Linked DNA regions of Danio rerio. The protein of the gene in region 2 binds, or shares a complex with, the protein of the main gene of each other region. Links are inferred from orthologs where the notes say so. Each region holds a gene or a part of one and is shown on either strand. Other genes may lie near its edges. The genes, in order: pigs and gpaa1.

Region 1 (3,829 bases), on a different chromosome or scaffold from region 2:
CACGTCCGAGCTTGAACTCGGTTCGAACCCAGCGTCTGCTGAACTCATTCTTTTTTTCCTCCCGCTACATATCAGATTTTGCCTACTATTAATCACGAGGAAGACAAGTAGGAATCATTAATAAGTCTGTGCATAATATTTTATTTGCACATTTATTGAATGGAAATGTTTCTGATTCACGTATGCAAATTCATCTTCAGATAGTGTCTTTATAGCAATGTGCGTGCAGTAGATCGCTCCGATTACATTGGGGAAAACAGACAATCGCTGCAAATTGCGCTTTAATGTTTGGCTGGTCAAATGTATGGTATGGAAACCTTATATACCTGCTAGATGAACCCGCCTCATACAGCTGCCATTGCAAGTCTCAGACACTTTGTAGAGAGCAATTTAACACAATTGCCTCTAGGAGTCGCCAATGGAAATAAAACAGACACACACAAAAAATGTGCGTACGCCAGCCATGAAGTTGGCGTGGAGCTGCGCAAATTCTCACGTTCATTTCATCGTTAGTAAATCCAAACGTGAGCGATTCTGAGCGTGAAACCTGGCGCACGCAAAGTTTTTGTGCGTATGCAGCGTTGATACATGAGGCCCCAGGTGTAGTTGTTGGTATGGAGAAAGCAGTCAGTGAAAGAAATCCAACAGAGAATCCAGTTCAGAGATGGATCCACAGCAGCCACAAGTCAAAATAGGCAGTGAAAAGGAGGACAGATCAAAGCTTGACACAACCTGACTATACAAATGAGCACCGATGACTTATTTAGTAAGAAGTAAAGCAATACTCAAGTCTTTTCGGTTGTTGTTGAATGAGACTCTGAACGGTCTGTTGAATTTTAAATTGATTCGTTGATGCTGAGTAAATGTTGTACTGTGGTCGTCCACGCCGCCTAAGCACAACCTAAAGTAGCAGCTGTTTAAATGACAACATTATGACACTGTTGTGACAACCTTCAGCTACAACATAGATCCTCAACCTTTTTACAAGGTTGGTACACAACGTTGCAGGAAGGTTGTTATGTCGAGGCAATGTTGTGTGTTTGTTGGGATAACTGGCAAAGGCCAGAACATCTGATCTTTTTCTTCCTTCAAATAGTACATGGTGTCTAAAAGCTACTGTAAAACACTTGGTGGTTTCAAGAGTTCACACTTAGATAATGCTTGACTATTTAAGCAAGTTTGGCATGCTGTCCCGGGAGAGAACCCTGAGCTCGGTGATAGATGAGCCCAATGCTCCCGCCTGGTCAATAAGCATTAGGAGGGATATGAGATCAGGTAGTTCTCGATAGTTTCCTTAAATAGACCGCTAGCTGCGCTAGTTTGTCGTAAGTGCTTGTGACTTTAACTTTTGTTGCATGGTTTTTGAGTGTGGGAGAAAACCGGAGTACCTAGGGAAAAACCCACGCGAACACGGGGAGAACATGCAAACTCTGCACAGAGAGTATCGGTTGGCTCAGCTAGAACCAACAACCTCCTTACTGTGGGGCAAAAGTGCTAGCCACCGAGCCACCATGTCGCCCGAACTGAGGAGGAGGGAGAAGGGATGGATGGGGGGGTTTTCAAAACGAAGATGAGAAATGAATTTAGGCTGGATATTTATATTGAATTTAGAGTGATCCGATTGGCTAGTTAGTGATTAGTGATAGTGATCAGCTGTAGTCGATCCTATCTCGTGCTCCTCTCGAAATTAGTTTACAAAACTTCACTTTGAAGGTTTCCAAAGAAATAAGATCCAAAGTCTTGCTAATAAAGGGATAAAGGCAAGTACCTCAAACTGTTTACATGTAAATCAGCTCCGGTTCTTGATGACACCAAAAATTGTAGTGGTGGGACAGATATTTACTTTATTTTGAAACCATGTCTAAAAGGTTCCAAACCAATTATTTCAATGGTTTTGTAGTTCTAGGCAGGAAAACATGTCTTAAATTGACTTAAATTACAGGACGACTTGTCATCCACAATAGGATAAAACCTATAGAGCAGAGTTTTGGAGTTATAGACCCTATGCAGTATTTTAAACTGTATGAGTGAAAGCCAAGCACATATTAAACTTGAATTACAGTTTGTCAACAGCATTTGCCTACCATTCATTCATTCATTCATTTTCTTGTCGCCTTAGTCCCTTTATTAATCCGGGGTCATCACAGGGGAATGAACCGCCAACTTATCCAGCAAATTTTTACGCAGCGGATTCCCTTCCAGCCGCAATCCATCTCAGGGAAACATCCACACACACATTCACACACACACTCATACACTATGGACAATTTAGCCTACCCAATTCACCTGTACCGCATGTCTTTGGACTGTGGGGGAAACCGTAGCACCTGGAGGAAACCCACACGAACGCAGGGAGAACATGCAAACTCCACACAGAAACGCCAACTGAGCCGAGGCTCAAACCTGTGACCCAGCGACCTTCTTGCTGTGAGGCAACAGTACTACCTACTGCGCACTACCTACTGCTTCGCCCATTTGCCTACCAGTAAAGCTCAAACTCTTCACCTACCTCAAGTTCCCAGGCACTTTTAATTTAGGCAATAGTATGATCCTCCAAATCAGTAAGCTGACAATAAGTTCTTGACTTCAGTAATTTTTTAAAGATAAATTTAGTTGTCTAATGGGATAGTTATGTTGTCTCGCCATAAAACATTTTATATTAGAATGTGAAATTTGAAAAACTTCTAGACAAGATTTTCAGATGAATACGATTTTATTTATTTAACATATTCTTTTACTGAAATATGCAGTTGTTATTGAAGTTATAATTAGGTAATATGTTTTATCTAAATCAATCTTGCCATGAAACTTCCATAAGTTGCTGATGTGAAAATTAACAAGCTCAATTTCCCTCCACAGAGGCTGATTTATCCTTGCACACTCTGACCGAGAGTTCCTGTGGGTCTGTGGTTGTGTATGTGATCCCCGAGTCCTCCGTTCTTCTTCCAGAGGTGAGCTTCAGAATATATTTCTATTTCCTCCAAACGCATACTGAAACCCCTACTGAAGGTCATGTACTTCCAGGATGTGAAAGTGTACGTTGGACAGCGGCGCACAGCTCTTCTGCGTTCCCCTCCTTTCAAAAGTTCTTGGAGTCTGAATGAAGTCATCTCCAATCTAAACCCAAGGGTGGAGCAGATAGCGAGCACCATGTCTTTCAGTCATCAAGATATTACAGCAGCTCTGAGCGACCGAGTCCGAATGACCAAAGTGACCAAGGAGAGTATGGCAGACAGCATGAGGGCTATCAAATCTAGTCCAGGTGATTTTATAATGATTTTATTTGTTTGGATATTAGTGTCAGTACGTTAGTTTTAAGGATATCTATAGACTAGTGTGCTACAAAACAGTAGGGCTGACGATACTAGAAAAATTACACATTGTGATTGTGATTTTTTTTTTTTTTTTTTGCAATACATATTGCGATATGAACACATTTTCACTAGATGAGTTGAATAAATGTTTGTAAAGAATCTATAATTATAGATTAATTGGGAAGATTCTGTAGGGGAGTGCATAAAATAAAATTCAAGTTTATTTGTATATCACTTGATCACAATAAGGCCGTACTCACACTAGGTACAGTTGCCTCGAACCGGGCCTCCCGTCCCCCCTCCCGTCTCCCCCGATGGCCCGCGGTCACACCACAAAAGGGCCTCGGCACGCTTGCGTCATCGCTGCTGCGCTGTTCAGTGAGAAGCGCTCTCTCACTTAGCAGCACAGTGGAGATTTCTCTAGTTATATCGTTTCAGTCGTTTGTTATGCAGTGACATGCAGTCAAATATTTCGCCAAACAGTCCTTAGGGATGCGGTGACACGCAGTCAGATA
Region 2 (3,829 bases):
TCCAGTTAAATGTTAAATAAATAATAAATAATAAATTAAATAAATTCGTACCATTTTGGCATTTTTAATTAATTTGAACACATTCGGGTGCTGCTTGTCGATTTGACGAGGCTTCTGTGTTCGTTCTTGCTGTCAGTTGCGGAAGAAAGAGGAGTCAGATTTGTCCGGGGAGTCAGATTTCGATACAACACCGGGACTGCATGTTCCTCCATGTCGCGTCAGTGATGGGTCGTTCTTGAACGAATCGTTCATTTTGAACAAATCTTTTGTATCATGAAGTGAATCATTCATTTGCGCATGCACTCATTTGTTCAGGAGAAGCATTTTAGCATGAGACCAGCAGTGTGTAAGTACATTTAGATTTGTTTTCAGCTGTTTGTGTGTGGTTCTAGCAGTATTTTTAACGGTTTTCAGTTGTTTGTGATGGTTTCGCGCCCCCCCGAGGACATTTAGACCTGTTTCCAGTGTTTGTGTGTGGTTCTAGGACACTTAAACTTTTTAGTTTAAGTTTACTCACTGTTTCCTTGGTTACTGTAAGAACTTGTGTATCGTTTCGCGCCCCCCAGTTTCGGTTGTTTTTACTCTCGAGGCGTGTCCAAGCGCCAAGTAAAGAGTATATAAGGAGCAAAGTAGGTTCAGTTAGTAGGAGAAGCATTTTAGCAATGAGACCAGCTGTGTGTAAGTACATTGAGACTTGTTTTCAGCGTTTGTGTATGGTTCTAGCAGAATTCTAGCCGTTTTCAGCTGTTTGGATTATCCTGCATCGCGTTGGGGAATCATATCGATATATCCCCAGAACTCGATATACCGCCCAGCCCTATTTCAGACCATTTACCTTTAAAAGATACACACTGGAGAGCAGCGGCTCAGATGAACTCTCACTATTGCAAATCAATCATGTTCTGAGAAGTACTCCATAATAAAGGGATAGTTCACCCAAAAAAAAAATTATTTACACACTTTTATGAGTTTCTTTCTTCTGTTCAACACAAAAGAAGATATTTTGAAGAATGTTGAAAACCTGTAATTATTGAATTTAATAGTGCATGTTTTTTTTTTCCTACTATGGAAGCGAATGGTTACAGGTTTTCAGCATTCTTCAAAATATCTTCTTTTTGTGTTCAACAAATAAAAAAAACTTGTAAAGTTTTGAAACCGCTTGAGGGAGAGTTGTGTTTGTGTTTTATATCTGTGAACTAAAGAAAAATAACGTGATTATTTATGGAGAGTGCATTGTGTCCCTTTGAATCACGTCCTACCTTTCCCTGAATGGTGCACAGAACGTTGAGCTTCTGACAGAAGGCATAGAAGAGATTGGCCAGGTCCAGATTGGGCAGCTGACCATTGAGTCCCTCTAAAACCAAATCCAGGCTGGTGATGACATCACTGCTGAGCTCCAATGACAGCGCAGCCTGAATCGAACCAGCACGACCCTGCAGAGGAGAGTACTCCATTCCTGAAACACAGAGAGACCCAAGCATTAACAACAAGGAATGTCAGGGACTAAAACTTGTTAAAGGAGACCTATTATGCTAAAATAACTGTTTGTGTGTCAGCAGTGTGTGAATCTCCCCAGCTTCTAATTGTAAACATGAATTAATTCTATATTTAATAATCAGACTTGATGAAATCAGTCTGCAGAAACACTTTGATTGACATTCTCCCTTTGTACGTGTCATCAGAGGGGGAAAGCCCCGCCCACTAGAGCCCATCTCTCCCTCATCAGCATAAACAGCAGCCCTGAGTGAGAAGCAGCCGTCTATCCGTTAGCGGTGTTTGAGCTGCTGAAGATCACGTCAGCATAGACTAAGAGGATTACAGATGTGGAGTTTTAGATGAAGCAGCGACAGGAGCGACATGGACTGACAGAAGCATGAAGCACACATGCACACCTGACCAGCACTGACAACACTAGTGCTGTTTTACATCTGCCACTATGCTGAAGCTCCGCCCTCTTCTCAAAAGTGCTCATTTGCATTTAAAGTGACAGTCACCAAAACGCCAAAGTTAGGATCAAAGCCTAAAAGGGTCAGTTTCAGAGAGGTAGATAACAATGTGTGTGTGCTATTTTGAGCTGAAACCTCACACACACACTTTATCAGAGACTTATTTCACATCTTGTATAAAAGGCATAGCAGATCCTCTTTAAAATGAGGGCTTGGATGTAAATGTGTACGCACCTGTAATGTTAGTGTGGTGGTATCCCTCCAGCCAGGCCTGCATGCCGATCAGATCGTGCTCATTCACCAGAAAGATGATGTCTTTGGCCCAGTAAACCTGATCTTTGGGGAAATAAATATAAAATAAATCTCATTCTGATTACAATAGATGCCATAGGGATGCACAATACACTGTATAATATGCGCAATACAATCTAAAGTTAGCCTAATTAACCCAGAGAAGCCTTCAAATGTCACTTTAAGCTAAATACTAGTATCAGAAATTAATTATTAAAACTATTAAGTTTAGAAATGTGTTGAAAAAAATATTTCCATAAAACAAACATTGGAAAACATTTTTAAAAGAATTAAAATAAAACTAAAGTTTCCCAAACCAAAACTTTACAAGCAAAAATGTTTTAGGGTTCATTTATTTCCTGCATAGCAATACAAGACTGAATATAGACTGAATACAGACTGAATTATTGCAGAAATGACGTTCATACATCAATTCAAAACACCAAAATTAAAACAAAATTAAGTAAAAACACAAAACACACATCCACTCATACACAACCTGCATCCGTGCCCAAAATCAAGTTGGTTACAAAGCAAAAAGAAGTGAAATGAGTTTGTCAATGTAATATTGCAGAATCAGAAAGAGTCTTACTCCTGAAGTATTGTGCCAGGCCCAGCAGGATTCCAACGGCCTGATTGTTGGTACCTCCAGGAGTGCAGGGGGCGCTGATCACGAGCGCTTCTGTCCGAGGAGCTCGAGGCGCTCGCAAAATCCCATAAACATTTGTGCCCCGAACCATCTGAGGAAAACAGCACATTTGCTTCAAGCGTACTTCAGTTTTAGTATTTTATTTATTTATTTATTTTATTAAAGTGGACTTGTCTTTGTTAAATGCCCACATTATTAGTTTTAGAGGTAACATTTTTTTTCTTTTTGCACCTTTTTTCTAACCAGCCTATAGACTTTTTAATTAAGGAATGAAAAAATTATATAATAATTAAAAAAAGACATGTGGTTGTGCTACAGATAAGCAACATCCATCAGTTTGAGTCAATCAGGAGTGAATTTTCTTTTATATCAATCATAAGATATCTGAAAAAGAACGAACAGGCATTTTTTATATTGCTGCATTATTTTTTTTCTCTTGCTAAGTTACATATTTAATAGTAAAAATATTAATAAAAAATTAAATACTATAGAATAAGAATTAAGTATAAATACTAATAAAAAAATTAAATAAATAAATAAAACAAATAAAGTAATAAAATAAATAATGAAAGAAAAATAAAGAAAATAAATGAAGTAATTAAATAAAGTAATTAAATAAAAAAGAATAAAATAATGTAAGTTAAAGTAATTCAATTAATAAAATAAGATAATAAAGGATTATAAAATGATTAAAATATTAAATAAAATAAAGTAATAAAATAAATAAATAATGACACAAAAAATAAAGAATAAAATAAAGTAAATTTAAAAAGTAATAAAATAAAAAGTAAAGTAATAAAATAAATAAAATAAAAATAAAGTAATAAAATAAATAAATAATGACACAAAAAATAAAGAATAAAATAAAGTAAATTTAAAAAGTAATAAAATAAAAAATAAAGTAATAAAATAAATAAAATAAAAATAAAGTAATAAAATAATA

Evidence for each region.
Region 1: gpaa1 (region 2) and pigs share a complex: the UniProt entries of both Homo sapiens proteins name them as parts of the GPI-anchor transamidase complex. The link is inferred for Danio rerio from reciprocal best matches to the Homo sapiens genes GPAA1 and PIGS.

Annotation. Positions count from the first base shown.
Region 1 is NC_133196.1:42,871,903-42,875,731, reverse strand, and holds part of pigs (GPI transamidase component PIG-S), read left to right. Parts: intron 1-2,859; coding exon 2,860-2,951; intron 2,952-3,024; coding exon 3,025-3,262; intron 3,263-3,829. UniProt on the Homo sapiens protein: Component of the glycosylphosphatidylinositol-anchor (GPI-anchor) transamidase (GPI-T) complex that catalyzes the formation of the linkage between a proprotein and a GPI-anchor and participates in GPI anchored protein biosynthesis.
Region 2 is NC_133177.1:1,638,621-1,642,449, forward strand, and holds part of gpaa1 (glycosylphosphatidylinositol anchor attachment 1 protein), read right to left. Parts: intron 2,978-3,829; coding exon 2,830-2,977; intron 2,283-2,829; coding exon 2,181-2,282; intron 1,457-2,180; coding exon 1,260-1,456; intron 1-1,259. UniProt on the Homo sapiens protein: Component of the glycosylphosphatidylinositol-anchor (GPI-anchor) transamidase (GPI-T) complex that catalyzes the formation of the linkage between a proprotein and a GPI-anchor and participates in GPI anchored protein biosynthesis. Binds GPI-anchor.